Ovis aries: one gene and its partner. The protein of the gene in region 1 interacts with the protein of each later gene in a pairwise test. Links are inferred from orthologs where the notes say so. Each region holds a gene or a part of one and is shown in the gene's direction. Other genes may lie near its edges. The genes, in order: VPS52 and DDX6.

Region 1 (8,686 bases):
ACCCCCTGAAAGCTGCAGCACCCAACAGTGGCACCTTCTCATTTCTACACTGTGGAGAGGAAATTGATGCCTCTCAGTCAATGGAGCATCAAGGCAACAAGATCAAGGTTCTCTGAATTAACGATTAAGGGATAGATAACATTGTTAGTTGGTCGTGATGTCAAAGGGCAACAAGCCACGATCCTTTGGGCAGGTCACTGCATCCCTATGATCAAAATAAACACTGAAACCAGTGGCATTCTAACACTACCAATACCAGCAAGGTGCTCCTTGTGACCTGAACTCACGAGCCAAACAGATTTGGAAAGTGAAAGACTGTGCTGGGCTGAATAGTGTTCCACCAAATTTCTGTTTATTTGGAACGTCAAAACATGGCTTTGGTTAGAAATAGTTAAATCCAATGACTGGTATTCTTATAAAAGGAGAAGACACAGACAGGCAAGAAGGCCATGTGGTAAGGTGAAACACTAGAATGATGCAGCTGCCAAGACAAGGAAACCAAGGATGTGTGGCATACAGAACTGAGAGTAAACCAAGAGATTCTCTTGTTTTAAGTCAACAAATCTGTGTCACAAAGGTCCCAGGAAATTGGATTTCCTCTCTGTAAGAAAGTGACCTGGAGGTCAAATTACCAAGTTGATTGAGAAGAGAGTAAGATCTAAGTGTCTCTCTGGCCCAGCAGCGTCCAACTCTTTGCAACCCTGTGGGCGGTAGCACACCAGGCCTGCCTGCCCCCCGCCCCCCACCTCCCAGAATTTGCCCAACTTCATGTTCACTGCATCGGTGATGCTGTCCAGCCATCTCACGTCTGATGCCCTCTTCTGTCCTCAATCTTTCCCAGCATCAGATTACCAAAATACTGGAGCTTCAACATCAGTCCTTCCAGTGAATATTCAGGGTTGACCTCCTGACTGGTTTGATCTCCCTGCTGTCCAAGGGATTTTCAGGAGTCTCTTGGATGCATCAATATTTTCTCCCTCCTATTTTTTAGTGTTTAGAACTTTTGATAAACAGCTTTTTAAAAAAGTTGCCGTCAAGCTTTTTGAAAGCCCTGTCCAGTCATTGTGACTAGCTCCAACCATGTTTCCAAACAATGCAGATGACCAGTTAACATCCCGCTTTAGAGGAAGGGCAGTCCAACCTTAAGGAGTATTCATAGCAGAAGTGTACAAATGAAAAGAAGGGATCATGGCATAAAAAAATCTTGCAGATGTGTTACCTTAGTAAATACCGTTTTCTGCTTATGTCACCATTGATACGTCAAAGTTAATTCCCCAATTAACTTTGCTCCTTTAATTTTTTGAGGAATCCCTCCTCCTACTCAGCCACCACCCCCAGCACTCCCTTCCAACTTCTAAGTATTACTTAACCCCACATTCCAAATCATTAACAAAAGACCAGGTACCTCTAAACTTTGGCTGTCTCACCAGAGAAGAGCCAGCAAAAGCTGAAACACAGCAAAACCCCAAGTAACTGTATCTCTAGAATAATCTTTCCCAGTGATAAGCAGGGCATGAGGTTCCCTAATAGATTCTTATCAAAATACTCATTAAGTACTGGAAACTGCTTTCAAAATCTGTTTTAAGGTTAAGATATATACTTAAGGTAACAAATGGGAAACTAGTTAATTTCAAAGAAGCAGAGAGAAAGGGTTTAATATAAGCATCCTATCAACCACACATCTTTTTTTTTTTTTACTTTTTTTACTATCTGACCTAAGCATTCTAGCAATCTTTAAAAACAGAAGCAACCTCAGAGATACAGCAGGTTCAGTTCCAGACCACACCCAACAACACTGAAATAAAGAGTACTCTTGCCTGGAAAATCCCACGGATGGAGGAGCCTGGAAGGCTGCAGTCCATGGAGTCACTGAGGGTCGGAGACAACTGAGGGACTTGACTTTCACTTTTCACTTTCATGCATTGGAGAAGGGAATGGCAACCCACTCCAGTGTTCTTGCCTGGAGAATCCCAGGGACGGGGGAGCCTGGTGGGCTGCCGTCTATGGGGTCGCACAGAGTCGGACATGACTGAAGTGACTTAGCAGCACATGGTATTTTGGTTTCCCAGCACATGTAGTTACATAATCTATTCAGTGAGCAACAGCCTCTTAAAATCTATACACACCTTAATCAAGACACTTTATTACTATGAAGTACTAACCATCATCTGAACTTTAAGCAAGTCTAAATCTTTTTGCAATAGTAACAAAGGTCACTGATCACAGATAAGTGTAACAAATACACCAGTAAAAACTTTTAAAGTTATTTCATCAAAATGTGACAGACACACCATGTGAGCAAATGTGGGAGAACTGTCTTAAGAGCTGCCACAAAAACACAGTATCTGCAAAGTCCCATAAAATGTGAGCCCGAACTGTATTTTTCACTGCCTTTATTAGTCTCACAGAAAAAGATGAAAAGACGAAACGTACTATTTAAAAATGAAAGCTGTGCTCCTTGAATTACAGAATTAAAAAGTAACTGTGACAAATCTCACCAAGAAAAGCTGATATTGATTTGCTGTTTTAAACAATCTATAAAATACTTATCATAGTGTCTTCTGGGGTTCTAAGAAAAGCCTATCCTTGGCTCCAAGAAGTGTAAACATACTGGCAAAAAACATTTGGTCATTTCCACAATTTTATCTTTTTAAAGGATAACATCACTATCTGGAAGGCTGGGAGTTCATTAGGTTAAGGGAGATAGCCAAGCTTGCATTCACTGACAACTATAGGCTTCTTCATACTTGTAATCTCTTGGCATTTCTACTTATCCTTCAAATGGTACAATTATGTAACTTCCCCATTCCCTAGGTGAAATCTCTTGGTTTGACCTGAGAGGACTCTTTGGCTTTTTCTCACTTACCTTTTGGGACAAATGGGGCCAGCGGTTAAGTGGACTAACTGCTCTCTTAATCATTCTTTTTTTTTTTTCAACCTAGCAGACAAGGTCATCTGGTTGGAACTCCCTCAACCTGCCTCACTTTCAGCTCAGGTGTTGACAACTCAAGTTTCATCTATAGTCTCTAGTCCTTACCCTGCGTGTCTTAGTCGCTCAGTCGTGTCTGATTCTGTGCGACCCCATGGACTGTTGCCCCACCAGGCTCCTCTGTCCATTGGAATTCTCTAGGCAAGAATTCTGGAGGAGATTCTCCAGGGGATCTTCCCAACCCCAAGGATCAAACCCTGGTCTCCCATATTGCAGACAGATTCGTTTACCATCTGAGCCACCAAGGAAGCCATCAGTCGTTACCCTACTTTACCTTAATTGCAGTGATGGCAAAGGCAATTTTCCGCCGCCCATCGATGTTGGTGTTGAGTACTCGCAAGATGTGCTGGAACTTCTCAGGAATTACTAGAGACTGATAAAGAGATTGAGAGAGAAATCAGACAGTGAACTACTATCAAACCGTAACCTCAAACACGAACGCTAAGCTTGTCACACAGGGAGCAAGAAACCCCCGTCAGGTCTTCACGACACAACAAACTCCTGAGTCCTGCAGACAGCAGGAACATGAAGTGTTCAGCCCTGGGAAAACGCAACCTCGGGGAAGAAGCGTGTCTCCTACCCTTGCCCCAAGTACACTCTGAGTGCCGGAGACACAGGTCCTCACACACGCCCAAACCGTTCTAGTGCCCGGGGAGGGACTTCCTCTGGCCCTAGTCCCCAGAACTGGATGCCTTTAGTTGTCCTTTTCCAGAAGCGGTATCCGAGGTTCCACCCAGAAAGTTGCGGGCCCTCAAGACAGGACATTTTCAACCCTCTGACAGCAAGACCTTCCCTGCCCCGGTCCCGATGTTGCTAGATCCCGGCAAGGATTGTACTCTTACCATGGCGGCGGCCCCAGCGGCGGCGTGTAGGCCTCCAGTGGAAGAGAAAACGGAAGTGACGCAACAGCCTTATATTGCTACCAGGCGGAACGGGCGGAGCTATCTGAGCAAGGAGCTTCCGGAAACTATGCAAGACTCTGAATCGGGCGGCACGACTTCCGGTCCGGGGTTTCTTTACTGTTCGTAAAGGTTTTGTGTGTGCGAACAACAAAGGTTCCGGATTGAGATTGTGCTTAAGAATTCCACTTATTTTCACTTGGGTGAAGCGGTTACAGCCGAAAGAGGAAGACTGGAGGCAAACAAATATCTGGGAGCGATTTCGCACCGTGCAAGACACGCTAGGACCTGTAGTTCCCTTCCGGGGAACAGATTCGCCTGGCTGACAGCTGCCGGAAGTGAGGCTGCGCGGAATGGCCGCCGCTGCGACCATGGCGGCAGCTGCTCGTGAGCTGGTGTTGCGGGCCGGGGCCTCAGATATGGAGGAGGAGGAGGGCCCGCTGGTGAGAAGCAGGGCTGTTTCTCCTTCAGAGTCTTGTCCAGTCGCCTCACGTCAGGAAGGCCTGGGCTGGGTGTAGGCACAAGGGTGGGTACTCGCAGCTGCCAGTAATGCTACCCAGCTTGGCTCTCCAGACGCCTCCGTGGGATCCGACCTGAACCTGAGTACGGCCGAGACTCTGGTTCTGGGGCCACAATTGCAGTTAACTTCCAGATGTTTGGGCAGAATAGAGAAGCAGTATAAAAGTCTGGGAACATGGCTTCTGCTTGGGCTTTAACTCAAGCTCTGCCGCGTATACTGTGTGTCTTCGGGCAAGTCTAACCTGCCCCTCCATGCCCTTATTTCCACACCTATAAGGTGAGAAAAGTAAGACCTGCTATATATGTTGTGGGTTAGGACTGGGTGAATGAATATATGTAAGATGGCACCTGGCAGGTAGGTAAACACTATGTATTAGCTGGTAGTTTTAAAGAGGTTGGGGCGCCCCAGAGGGATGGTGATAGAACATTTAAGGTAGCAGCAGTCTAGAGATCCTAAATTCACCTGCAAGTTCTGCTCTGCCCTCTGCATCTCCTATTTTTTCTCATTTGGTTACCTTCACCCTTCGTAGTTTGCCTGTCTCCTTGTCCCGTTCCTATCCATCAGCCCCAATTAGTTGACTGAGACAATATGGAACTTTTGACATTTTGTGAACTCAGAATGTACCTGTGATTCCCCAGTGAAAGTCCCCCTTTTCCGCTTGAAGGATTGGTGACTGTTCCATTCTATTTTGTTCTGCTTCTGTCTTTCCCATTAACCTGTTCCTCTCCAGGGGAGTGGTCCAGGTCTTCAGGAACCACTGCAGATGGGAGAGTTGGACATCACCTCTGATGAATTCATCCTGGATGAAGTGGATGGTAAGTGATGGCAAGGGGTGGGGGGTATGCGGTCCTATAACCTGAGAGGCTGGGCTCTGCAAGCACTAAGGCAGGGACTGGTGTGCGGATGTTCAGTGTAGAGACAGATCTGTAGAACTAGCTGAATCCTTATGATGAACTTCTATTTGCAGTTCACATTCAGGCGAATCTGGAGGATGAGTTAGTAAAGGAAGCTCTTAAAACGGTGAGGCTTTCCACTATACTAATCTGCCCCTCCCTGAACCCTCCCCTTAAAGGAAAGAAGAAAGTCTTTTTTGCTCCTACTATCACCCTGGTCTTTTTCTCTAGTCCTTCATTGACTGTGTTCCAGTGTCCCTTCACTGACTTCCTCCTGACCCTCTCACATTTCTGTTCTCCCAGGGTGTGGATCTTCGTCACTATTCAAAGCAGGTTGAGCTGGAGCTACAGCAGATTGAGCAGAAATCCATTCGGGATTGTATCCTCCAGCAGAGGAGAGGGGTGCTGTTATTAAAACGGGCATTTTGTGGGGGTATGGTGCTGACAGCCCAGCTGGGGCCGCCGTCTCCTCTCTGAGGTTTCTGCCACCTCAGGGAGAAATTGGAGAGGTCCTGCGGCGGTCTGAGAATCTCCATGTCCACAGTGAGGCCCCTTGACTTGTTGTGAGTCAGATATCCAAGAGAGTGAGAACATAGCATCTCTGCACAATCAGATCACAGCCTGCGATGCTGTCCTTGAGGTTAGTAACCATGCCCTGGGAGCCCTCATATCCCTGAGTGCAGATCATGGTCTTTAGCATGATTCTTTAGGCCATCTTCCTCAGGCAGGGACAGTTAGAGTCACTTTCAGGATGATCTCAGCAGCCATTTTAGTTGTTGCTGCCATGACTAACGTTGTTATTTGCCTTTGTTGCACCTCTTTCCTTATCACCCACTGCTCTCATAGTTGGGTAGATACTAGAGGCTTTACCTAGAAACTTGTCCCCTGCCAATCCTGTGGCTATTCAGCAGCCCTTCTGCCTTCTCCCAGCGCATGGAGCAGATGTTGGGAGCTTTTCAGAGCGATCTCAGCTCCATCAGCTCTGAGATCCGGACACTGCAGGAACAGTCTGGAGCCATGAACATCCGACTGCGGAACCGCCAGGCTGTCCGGGGGAAACTCGGGGAGCTTGTTGATGGTCTCGTGGTGCCCTCTGCTTTGGTCACGTGAGTCACTAGTTTGAAGGGTCCTAATGTCATAGCTAACTCATTGGAAAAGATCCTGCTGCTTGTAAAGATTGAAGGCAGAAGACAGAGGATGAGATGGTTGGATAGTATCACAGATTCAATGGATATGAACTTGGGCAAACTCCAGGAGATGGTGAGGGACCGGGAGGCCTGGCATGGTGCAGTCCATGGGGCTGCAAAGAGTTGGACACGACTGAGTGATTGAATAACAAAGGGCAACATCACAGAAAGAAGATGGGCTGGTGTGACCTACCCTACTTAACCACGTGGGTCTCCCGGCTTCAGGTTATCACACACTTTCCAGAAAACGATGAGTAGTTGACAGCTCTTTTTTACCCTGACTCGGGCTTTAAGGAGTAGGAATCGTCTGGGGTTGGGCATCGAGAAGGGGTTTAAGGTTGATGTGGGTGATGGAGGTGTGTGTGTCCAGGCACAGAAGACTCTGTGCACGCGCTCTGACCCTGTGATGCAGTGGACGAAGGGAGAGGAGACAGAAGCTGGATGCCGGGGTTACGGGTTAGAGTCTCGAGGTGTCTGGGTCTCCCTCCTCACCCGTCCCACCCCTCCCTGCTCCCCAGGGCAATTTTGGAGGCACCAGTCACAGAGCCCCGGTTCTTGGAGCAGCTACAGGAGCTGGATGCTAAGGCAGCTGCAGTCCGAGAACAGGAGGCTAGAGGCACAGCGGCCTGTGCAGATGTCCGGGGCATGCTCGACCGCCTCCGAGTCAAGGTGGGAAGTGGGGGTGGACACCCTAGAAACCACTCGAACCAGCCTCCCTTAGACCTCTACCCTGGATTGCCCTGGCAAAGCTCACTGTAGCCCACCCCCAAGAACTTCTCCTTGCCTTTATGTGGCAGGGCTCATCCTCACATCTCTGGGTTTCTCTGAAAGTCTTAACAGATATCAAAGAGGAGTTCTCTACTCTTGCTCATCCAATATCAGCTTTTGTTCCTCCCCTCAGTGCTTCCCAGGCAGTGAGAAGGCTACAGCTTCACGCCCTGTGTTTGGTCCCCCACATCTAGGCCGTGACGAAGATCCGAGAGTTCATCCTTCAGAAGATTTATTCCTTCAGAAAGCCAATGACCAACTATCAGATCCCACAGACAGCCCTGCTGAAATACAGGTCGCCACCCAGAGAAAGGGTGGGTGTCCCTGGGGGGCTGGCTGGGAGATTGACTGGTTCCTGGCTCCTCCAGGTTCTTCTATCAGTTCCTGCTGGGCAACGAACGCGCCACTGCGAAGGAAATCAGGGACGAGTATGTGGAGACGCTGAGCAAGATATACCTGTCTTATTACCGCTCCTACCTGGGGCGGCTCATGAAGGTGCAGGTAAGCCCGTGGAAGGAGAGGTGCTCTGGGCGCCTGAGCTGGGAGGAGGGACTGTATAAATGGACGCCTTTTTTTGTTGTACATTGGGAAGCAGTGTTCCAGTGTTCTATTCTCTCCTCCAGTATGAGGAAGTTGCTGAGAAGGATGACCTAATGGGCGTGGAAGATACAGCCAAGAAAGATATCCTGGAGCTGAGGGGTGCTCATGCTGGGCCTGGAGAGGGAAGGGCTTCTGGCCCCAGCCTCCAAGGCCCTGCTGCTTAACTTTTCTTGTGGGACCAACACTTTGCAAATGAGATCAAGGCAGGAGCCTCCCTCCCCAGAAAAATGCACAGATCATCCTTACACTGAGTTTTGCGTATGATGTCAGGGAGTGTAGAGGCTCCCTGGAGTCCATTCACAGATGTCAGGTGAAGTGGGGCCCCAAGACTGGGGAGGAGGGACCCCGAGGCCATGTCTGGCTGCTGGGGCCCCTGGAGGTCCTGGATCTTTGATCTTCCATCACAGTTGTGATCTGTTTCCCTTGACTCTGGCCCTTCACGATTCTTCTCAAAGCCATCCCTCCGCAGCAGGAACACCATCTTCACCCTGGGGACCCGGGGCTCTGTCATCTCTCCTGCTGAGCTGGAAGCCCCCATCCTCGTGCCCCACACTGCCCAGCGAGGGGAACAGAGGGTAGGAGGGAGAGCCAGCCTCAGCCTCGGGGTGGGGCTCTGAGCACAGAACTTGGGGCAGAGCTTCCCGGCTGCAGGCCCTGGGGGAGTCCCCATCTCCAGTTGCCCCTGCACTCTGCAATGAGAGGAGGGTTGGACCATTGACTCGGGGTGTTACAGAGGGTAATAGGTCATTAGGCGGGTGTGGTGGTAAATGCGGGAGCAGCAACAGCAGGTGGGGGTGGGCTCTTCGTGTATCCCTCCTCCCCACCCCGCC
Region 2 (7,933 bases), on another chromosome or scaffold:
TTTGTAGATACTGCATTTGTCTTTTTGTTTTTTAAACAAATTGAAGGTTTGTGACAACCCTGTGTTGTCAGATAATGGTTAGTATTTTTAAAGTATTTTTAAATTAAGGTATGTATGTTGTTTTTTTTACACAAGGCTACTGCACACTGAATGGACTAGAGTATAGTGTAAGCGTAATTTTTGTATGCCCTGGGAAACAAAAATATTTGTGTGACTCACTTGATTGCAATGATAGAAATGAATCTGTAGTGCTTCAAAGTGTATTTTGAAATAGCAAGCACAGTATGAATCTAAGGTATTATATATACCTGAGACTGCGATTCACATTGACTTTTCCTGTAGTATTGCTTTGTCTGAGAATCCATGGAAAATAAAAGATAACATGTTTCTTAGACTCGGTGTAACAAACCATAAATATTAGGACTTAAGTAATAAGAGATTCTCTAGTGAAATCCAGCCTCATGACTGGCATTCTTCTACTGTTTTTATCTACCTTTTCTCCTTACTTATTTTCTTGTCATTGTTTCCACCCCACCCCCCACCCCCCTGCCAAAATGTGTCTGTTGTCTTATGTAGTACTTAGTTTTACCATGTTATCCGGGCATTTTTTTCCCCCTCCAAATATAAAAGCCTCTTGATGGGTGTCACCTCCTTTAGAGATGAAACTTGGTTGCACTTTGGGTATGGTATAAGATTATTGGAAAATTAGGCACTTAAAATCTTCTTTTGAGAGTATATAACTTTACACCAACAAACTGGAACCAGATACACTACAGATTGGTTCCACACATCTTTCTTTGGTACAGCCATCTGTGACTCTAGTTCTAGGTCTGAATGCTATGCACAGTAACATAACCATGCCATTTTAAAGGCATAGCTCTATAGTAACAGGCTTTTTTGGCGTACCTAGGAGTCTACTGTTTTATTCTGTTAAACATTGCAAAACCTTATATTAACTTGGAGATGATTGAAAGATGACAGCTCTTGCTATTTCCAGACTTTAGGCACAACTTTTGAGGACTTTATAGATAAGAAGGTGATGGAATAGCAGGTAGTTAATTATTGAGAGAAAAACAGAAGTTAACTTCTGTTGGCAACCAAATTTCATATCAAGTTGGGAATCTCATTATTTTGAGGAATTATTTCATTAACCAAGTCTAGTTAGTCATTTATCAAATTTATAGTTAAGAATTAGAACATTCTTAATTCTTTTGTAATTCATTCCTCCTGCTAACACGAATTTACTATGGCTAAAAGAATTGTTTTCCTAAATTCTCAAAAATGCATGTCTTCATTAGATACTGTGGTAAAACTGGAGTATATTCCTTAGGCTGGAGATAACTATTTTTGAAATTACTGTCTTCCATCTCCTTTTTTTTCTAGGGAGCAGTAGATACCTTAATCATAACTGCCTCTGCAGTATCCATTTTGTTCTCTCTGAAACCAAGATTTAAGTTCAACTGACCCTAGGAATTAAAAAGCAGTTGGTGTCTCCATTTAGCTGCGGAAGTTGGCTAGACTATCCATCAGGGACTGGAGAGAACGCAGTTCCTCAGAAAAAAGTTTAGGGTGCTACTAAGAAAGGGAAAGTGTTGGTCTTTCAGTCGTGTGAGACCTCATGGACTAGCCTGCCAGGTTCCTCTGTCCATGGAATTCTCCAAGCAAGAGCACTGGAGTGGGTAACCATTCCCTTTTCCAGGGGATCTTCCCAACCCGGGGATCGAAACCTGGTTTCCAGCACTGCAGGGAGATTCTTTACCATCTGAGCCGCCAGAGAAGCCCTGAATGCTGAAGCTGCAGCTCCAGTATTTTGGTCATCTGATGCGAACAGCCAGCTCATTGGAAAAGTCCCTGATGTTGGGAAAGCTTGAAGGCAGAAAGAGAAGGGGGTGTCAAGAGGATGAGATGGCCGGAGGCATCACCGATGCAATGGAATGAGCTCCGGCAAGCTTAGGGAGATGGTGAGGGATAGGGAGGCCTGGTGTGCTGCAGTCAGTGGGGTCACAGAGAGTCGAGCAGGACTGGGTGGCTGAACCAACAGCAAAGAAAGGGAAATGGATGCTAGGGTTATTAAAGCACAATAAATACATAGTGGCTCAGTCCCTAGACCTTACAGTGGAACTGGAACACGGACTTTGGAGAGCTAAAGTGTCAGAATCAGACATACCTTTAAGTTCGTGGGATTTTTTTTATTTTGGGTTTTTGTGTTCTGGTGGTGTTTTGTTTGCTTGTTTTTTGCCTTAGGGTATTGGTCACAGAAATACAAGTTTACACATTTTAAGTAATGCAGTTCAGTGGGTTTTTTTTTTTATTCAGTTGTGCAGCCAATTACTACAGTCAGTTTTAGAACATTTTCATCAAAAAGAAACTTAGTAGTTACCCTTCTTCTCCTTGCTCTGAAAGTGAAAGTGAAGTCACTTAGTCGTGTCCGACTCTTTGCGACCCCATGGACCGTAGCCCACCAGGCTCCTCCATCCATGGGATTCTCCAGGCAAGAATACTGGAGTGGGTTGCCATTTCCTTCTCCAGGGGATCTTCCTGATCCAGGGATCGAACCCAGGTCCCCCACATTGCGGGCAGATGCTTTAACCTCTGAGCCACCAGAACCCCTCCTCGCTCTAAGCAACCACTAATCAACTTTCTGTCTGTATGGATTGACCTAGTCTAGACAATTTCATATAAATGGGATTATAAAATACATGCTGTTTGTGACTCAGCTGTGGCTTTTTGACTTAGCATATTTTAGGATTCATCCATATTGTAGCATGTGTCAGTACTTTATTCCTTTCTATTGCTGAATAATATTCCACTGTATGGCTATACCACGTTTGGTTTATCCATTCTTCAGTTGGTAGAGTTGTTTCCACTGTTAGCTATTATGAATAATGCCTTTTTGAACACTGATGTATGTAGAATTTTTTGTGGAGGTATTTTCATTTCTCTTGGGCATATACCTAGGAGTAGAATTGCTGGTTCATGTGGTAATTTTTTATCTTTTTGAGGAACTGCCAGACTATTTCCCAAAATGGCTATATATTCTACTTAGTAGTGTATGAGGTTCCAGTTTCTCTTATTTGCAGACCTAAGTTCAAATCCTGATTCTAGCATTTCTTGCTTAATCACCTTGTGCAAAACAATATTGAGGATCCATTTTGCCATTTGTAAGACAAAAAGTAACCTAACTTGAAAGGATATAATTAACATTAAGTATCTAAGTGTAGTACCCATCACAGTAAGTTTTTAAAATTTTTAGCTTCCTTCCTCCTTCTCCCTGGCAGTTCCCCATGACTTCTCTTGAGTTTCAAAGCTGTCTGAATCTGGCTTGAATTTCCTCACTTCGGATTGTTTAATCTTCCTAGCAAACAGTGATAAGAGACAGTGAATATACTGAATTCTCTGACTGCTAATCATAATAGCCACCATATGAGACAAAGTACAGTGCATCTTACCTTACAGGCTAGCTAGCTTACTTTGTTGTAGCCCTATCCTTAAACAGTTTCTGTTTCTGTGGAACATAAGTCCTGTCAAAGAGCAGAGAAACAGAAGTCAGTGGCCTTTAAGCCATAATGTAAACCCCAAAAAGGAATTAGGATACCCCCAATCTAATTCTGTCCTGTCTGACTTCACTGAGGTATCTTATCCTTTTAAAGGACCTGACTCAGGAAGTCACTGAGAGACTAAAGTCTTTTTCTGCTGTCAAACTGAGTTGTATACTGGTAACCTGTTCAAAAACCATAATAGAGATTGAACCCATGTGATAATTGGCCTTCGGGACAACTGAAGATTAATAGAGTTGACTCAGAGTTGTGGCTCAAGGGATAAAGAATCTCCCTGCAAAGCAGGAGCTGTAGGAGACATGGATCCCTGGAGGAGGAAATGGCACCCTACTCCAGTGTTCGCGCCTGAAAAATCCTGTGGACAGAGGAGCCTGGCGGGCTACAGTCCACAGTGTCACAGAGAGTCAGACACGGCTGAGTAACACATGTGGTCAAGCAAGGAAGGATTTAAGACCAGAGGGTCAAACCAAGGCTTTCTTTGACCTGCTTCACCCTACATAATAAGCAGACTGTTCAATGCTGGCTGTCGGAGTAAATTAACAGAGTATTGTCACTGAACTATTTTCACAGTTGTTCTGGCAACAGTGTTAGTTATTCTGATTATATGGAACCCATCTGACCCCTATGATTGGGGTTCTAAAATAAGTGTCATGGTAGGAAATGAAAGTCATGATGCTTATGACTTGGGTATTTCTCCAGTAACAGTTTTAAATTGCTAGAGATATTTGTTTTGGTCATTAGCTCAAGCATAGAAAGAGCTAATTACAGTGATTGTGAATATTTTTCCTAATTTATTTTTCTAATTTTATAGTTGTAGAAATTAAAATTTTTTAGTTTTAGAAATAGAAGTGTTCTGCTTCCTCTGTTCATACCTGTTTTACCTTTTTTAATTTCTCTCTGTGTATGTATATTTAATATTTAGTAATTGTTGAGAATCCTTTGGTATTGTCTAGGAAATTTGCCCTAATAAGAAATATTATCTTCTGCAAAACACTCATGTCTGCAAAACACACGAGTAAGCCAGATTTGAAAACGAGAAGTCAGGGCACATCTCAGGACAGAAGTTGGCTGCGAGACAGACATTGGTCATTATGTAATACAATTTTAAAAAAAGATAGGACCCAAGACTAAACTTTTCCATCTGAGTCCTGTTTATGTAGAAATAAAATTGTCCAACCTACAATTTTTCACTGTGGTCAAGTTGGTTTACTAGTCTCAGAATATCATATAGTCCTTCTTTTGAATATTGTTTGTGCTGTTTTTTCTTTGTTTTTAATTGCAAAATGTCCTTCGCTTATTTTCCCCTGTGTGTTTATTGTGTCAGCCCAAGTTCCTCCTCTTTTTCTGTTGTTGATGCTCACACATACAAACTCAAAGGTTTTTATTACTAAATTTAGTGTGTATTTTATGAGTAGTTCTGATAAATGTAAGTTGATACTAATGGTGATGTTGACTGGTACTGCTAATTTATTTGGTCTTTTGTAAAATACTTCAATACCAAGGAACTTTGTATACTTTCAGTGTGTTTTAGAGAAGAACTCGCCTATGTACTGATTTTATTCACAAGTAATATGCATTGTTCCATCTCTTCTAGGAGGAGAGCATTCCCATTGCTTTATCTGGTAGGGATATTTTAGCTAGAGCAAAAAACGGAACAGGCAAGAGCGGTGCCTACCTCATTCCCTTACTTGAACGGCTAGACCTGAAGAAGGACAATATACAAGGTTGGTTTAAACTATAAATGCTGATTTAAATCTTGGAGCTGTATAGAAGATATTACCATCTTTTCTCAGTTGGAACTTAAATCATATGAAATTAGTATTTACCCTTTTCACAGCTTATGGCCTAGTTGTCTTGTAAAAATGATTCCTAACTTTTAAAAAGAGATTTCTAGTTTTTAAGGTTATTTTGCATATTTTACAGTTACTACAACATTCCAGTGAGATAGGCAAAATAAGAATTATTGTCCTGTAGATAGGGAAAATTAAATTGTCTGAAATAGATACTTAAAACTATGGAACTGGAACTAGAATGTTTCTTGTGACAGCTGTGTCTGCAGAGTTCCTTGTAAAAGCAGGAACTTTTTCTCTCTGAAGCCTTGTGGCTTGGGGATTTTAAAATCTTAAGTAGTATGGAAGAGACACATTTCCGTAACTGTACCCAGTAGATCTATGTTTTCACCTCTAAAGCTTTTTGTAAAGTTTTCAGTTTTTTTCTCCCCATGGTTTCTTGATCTATAATTATTTCTGCCATCTTCCTATTATGTTCATATGATATAAGTAGAACTGGGCAGCAGGAGTTTCCTATTTGGGCATTTTGACTAGTGATCTCTTACTAAAATACTAACAAATTTTGAGTTAATAATTGCCAACTCAAAGAACCCTTTAAGGCTTTGTAACCAGGAAGAGTAGAAGAATTGTATAGCATTGTTACTGAGGAGAAGTCTAAATCTGGTACACTATAATAGTTTCTTTTTTTGAAATTTATTCATTTGAGTGTCTTGATTACAAGGGGCAATATTTCTATAGCTTCTTAAACTCTTAAAATATGGCTTTTCCCCCCTCCTCTCTCCTTTTTTCTGTTTGTTGATATTTTCCAGCAATGGTGATTGTTCCCACTAGAGAACTTGCTCTACAGGTCAGTCAAATTTGCATCCAGGTCAGCAAACACATGGGAGGGGCCAAAGTGATGGCAACCACAGGAGGAACCAATTTACGGGATGACATAATGAGGCTTGATGATACAGGTAAGAAATGATTGGATACAAGCTGGCTTGCTGTCTGTAATTTGACACACAAGTGTTTCAGTAATTTATTAAAATTGTTTTTAAAATAGGGAACAAACATTGCAGTAGAAAAATGAATAAAGGAAATGACCATTTCAGTCAAGAAGAAAAAAATTATTTTAGTCATTGGAAGGATATTTAACCTTACTAGTAATTTTTTAAATTGCATATAAAAACAGTAAATTGATATTGTACCTATCTGATTGACAAGATTAATTAAGATTGGAAAGGCTAATTAGTAATCCAAAATCACTGCAGATGGTGATTGCAGCCATGAAATTAAAAGACGCTTACTCCTTGGAAGAAAAGTTATGACCAACCTAGATAGCATATTCAAAAGCAGAGACATTACTTTGTCGACTAAGGTCCGTCTAGTCAAGGCTATGGTTTTTCCAGTGGTCATGTATGGATGTGAGAGTTGGACTGTGAAGAAGGCTGAGCGCCGAAGAATTGATGCTTTTGTACTGTGGTGTTGGAGAAGACTCTTGAGAGTCCCTTGGATTGCAAGGAGATCCAACCAATCCATTCTGAAGGAGATCAGCCCTGGGATTTCTTTGGAAGGAATGATGCTAAAGCTGAAACTCCAATACTTTGGCCACCTCATGCTAAGAGTTGACTCATTGGAAAAGACTGATGCTGGGAGGGATTGGGGGCAGGAGAAGGGGATGACAGAGGATGAGATGGCTGGATGGCATCACTGACTCGATGGACATGAGTTTGAGTGAACTCCAGGAGTTGGTGATGGACAGGGAGGCCTGGCGTGCTGCAATTCATGGGGTCACCAAGAGTCGGACACGACTGAGTGACTGAACTGAACTGAATATGCATTTGTGAAGAAATTTGTTGTCTTGCAACATAGGGGTATAGATTGATACAATCTCTATGGTGGGCAATTTGGCATTATGTTTCAAAATTATACATGTATGTTTTTAATGATCTTTTTTTGAAGAAATGATTGGACAAATGCAAGGTTGTCCACTACAGTGTGGTTTGTAGTACCGAAAAACTGGAACAATATCAGGGAAATTTGGCTAAATATACTGGGGTATAGACTGAATGGAATGCCACATAGCCATTAAAGAGTGCAGCTGATCTGTATTCATTTTCATGAAGAGTTCTCCATGATAACATTATTTAGTGAAAAAAAGAAAACAGCAAGAGTTGAAATCCATTTAGTTATACATTGAATTTTAGTCAGGATTTTATATATGATTGTTACTTGATTAGTTTAATTACTATATTCTTTATACTGCCTTGTTAATTAAAAATGATCATCTTACTTGATCCTGTTACAGTCTTCTGCAGACCATTGATCTATTAGAGGCAAGCTGCTGTATCACGACTGAAGTGACTTAGCAGCAGCAGCTATATCAAAAGTTCGGCATACTTTTTGTTTTTCCCTGGGGGTTTCCCTCAGACAAAAAACTATGTTCCTTATTTGGAACAGGTGAATTGGAAAGCTGTAGCCCACTGCATGCAGAGGTGAAACTAACTGGTATTCTCTAGCCAACTGAAGATGAGATGGAAATCCATATTCTAAAATACATCTTGGCCTCTTTGTATTATTCCTACAGCAGTGTTTCTGATACAC

Evidence for each region.
Region 2: the proteins of VPS52 (region 1) and DDX6 interact in binary tests that used the Homo sapiens proteins (3 or more experiments, as listed by UniProt). The two-hybrid records come from large-scale screens. The link is inferred for Ovis aries from reciprocal best matches to the Homo sapiens genes VPS52 and DDX6.

Annotation. Positions count from the first base shown.
Region 1 is NC_056073.1:7,594,609-7,603,294, reverse strand, and holds the start of VPS52 (vacuolar protein sorting-associated protein 52 homolog), read left to right. Parts: upstream 1-4,228; 5' UTR 4,229-4,241; coding exon 4,242-4,331; exon of another isoform or gene 4,332-4,414; intron 4,415-5,138; coding exon 5,139-5,223; intron 5,224-5,375; coding exon 5,376-5,428; intron 5,429-5,604; coding exon 5,605-5,680; intron 5,681-5,869; exon of another isoform or gene 5,870-5,873; coding exon 5,874-5,941; intron 5,942-6,231; coding exon 6,232-6,407; intron 6,408-7,006; coding exon 7,007-7,157; intron 7,158-7,450; coding exon 7,451-7,551; intron 7,552-7,624; coding exon 7,625-7,757; intron 7,758-7,879; coding exon 7,880-7,937; intron 7,938-8,297; coding exon 8,298-8,431; intron 8,432-8,686. Other genes in the region: RPS18 (small ribosomal subunit protein uS13), read right to left, coding at 3,264-3,362, 3,832-3,834. UniProt on the Homo sapiens protein: Acts as a component of the GARP complex that is involved in retrograde transport from early and late endosomes to the trans-Golgi network (TGN).
Region 2 is NC_056068.1:29,110,664-29,118,596, reverse strand, and holds part of DDX6 (probable ATP-dependent RNA helicase DDX6), read left to right. Parts: intron 1-5,151; coding exon 5,152-5,281; intron 5,282-6,156; coding exon 6,157-6,303; intron 6,304-7,933.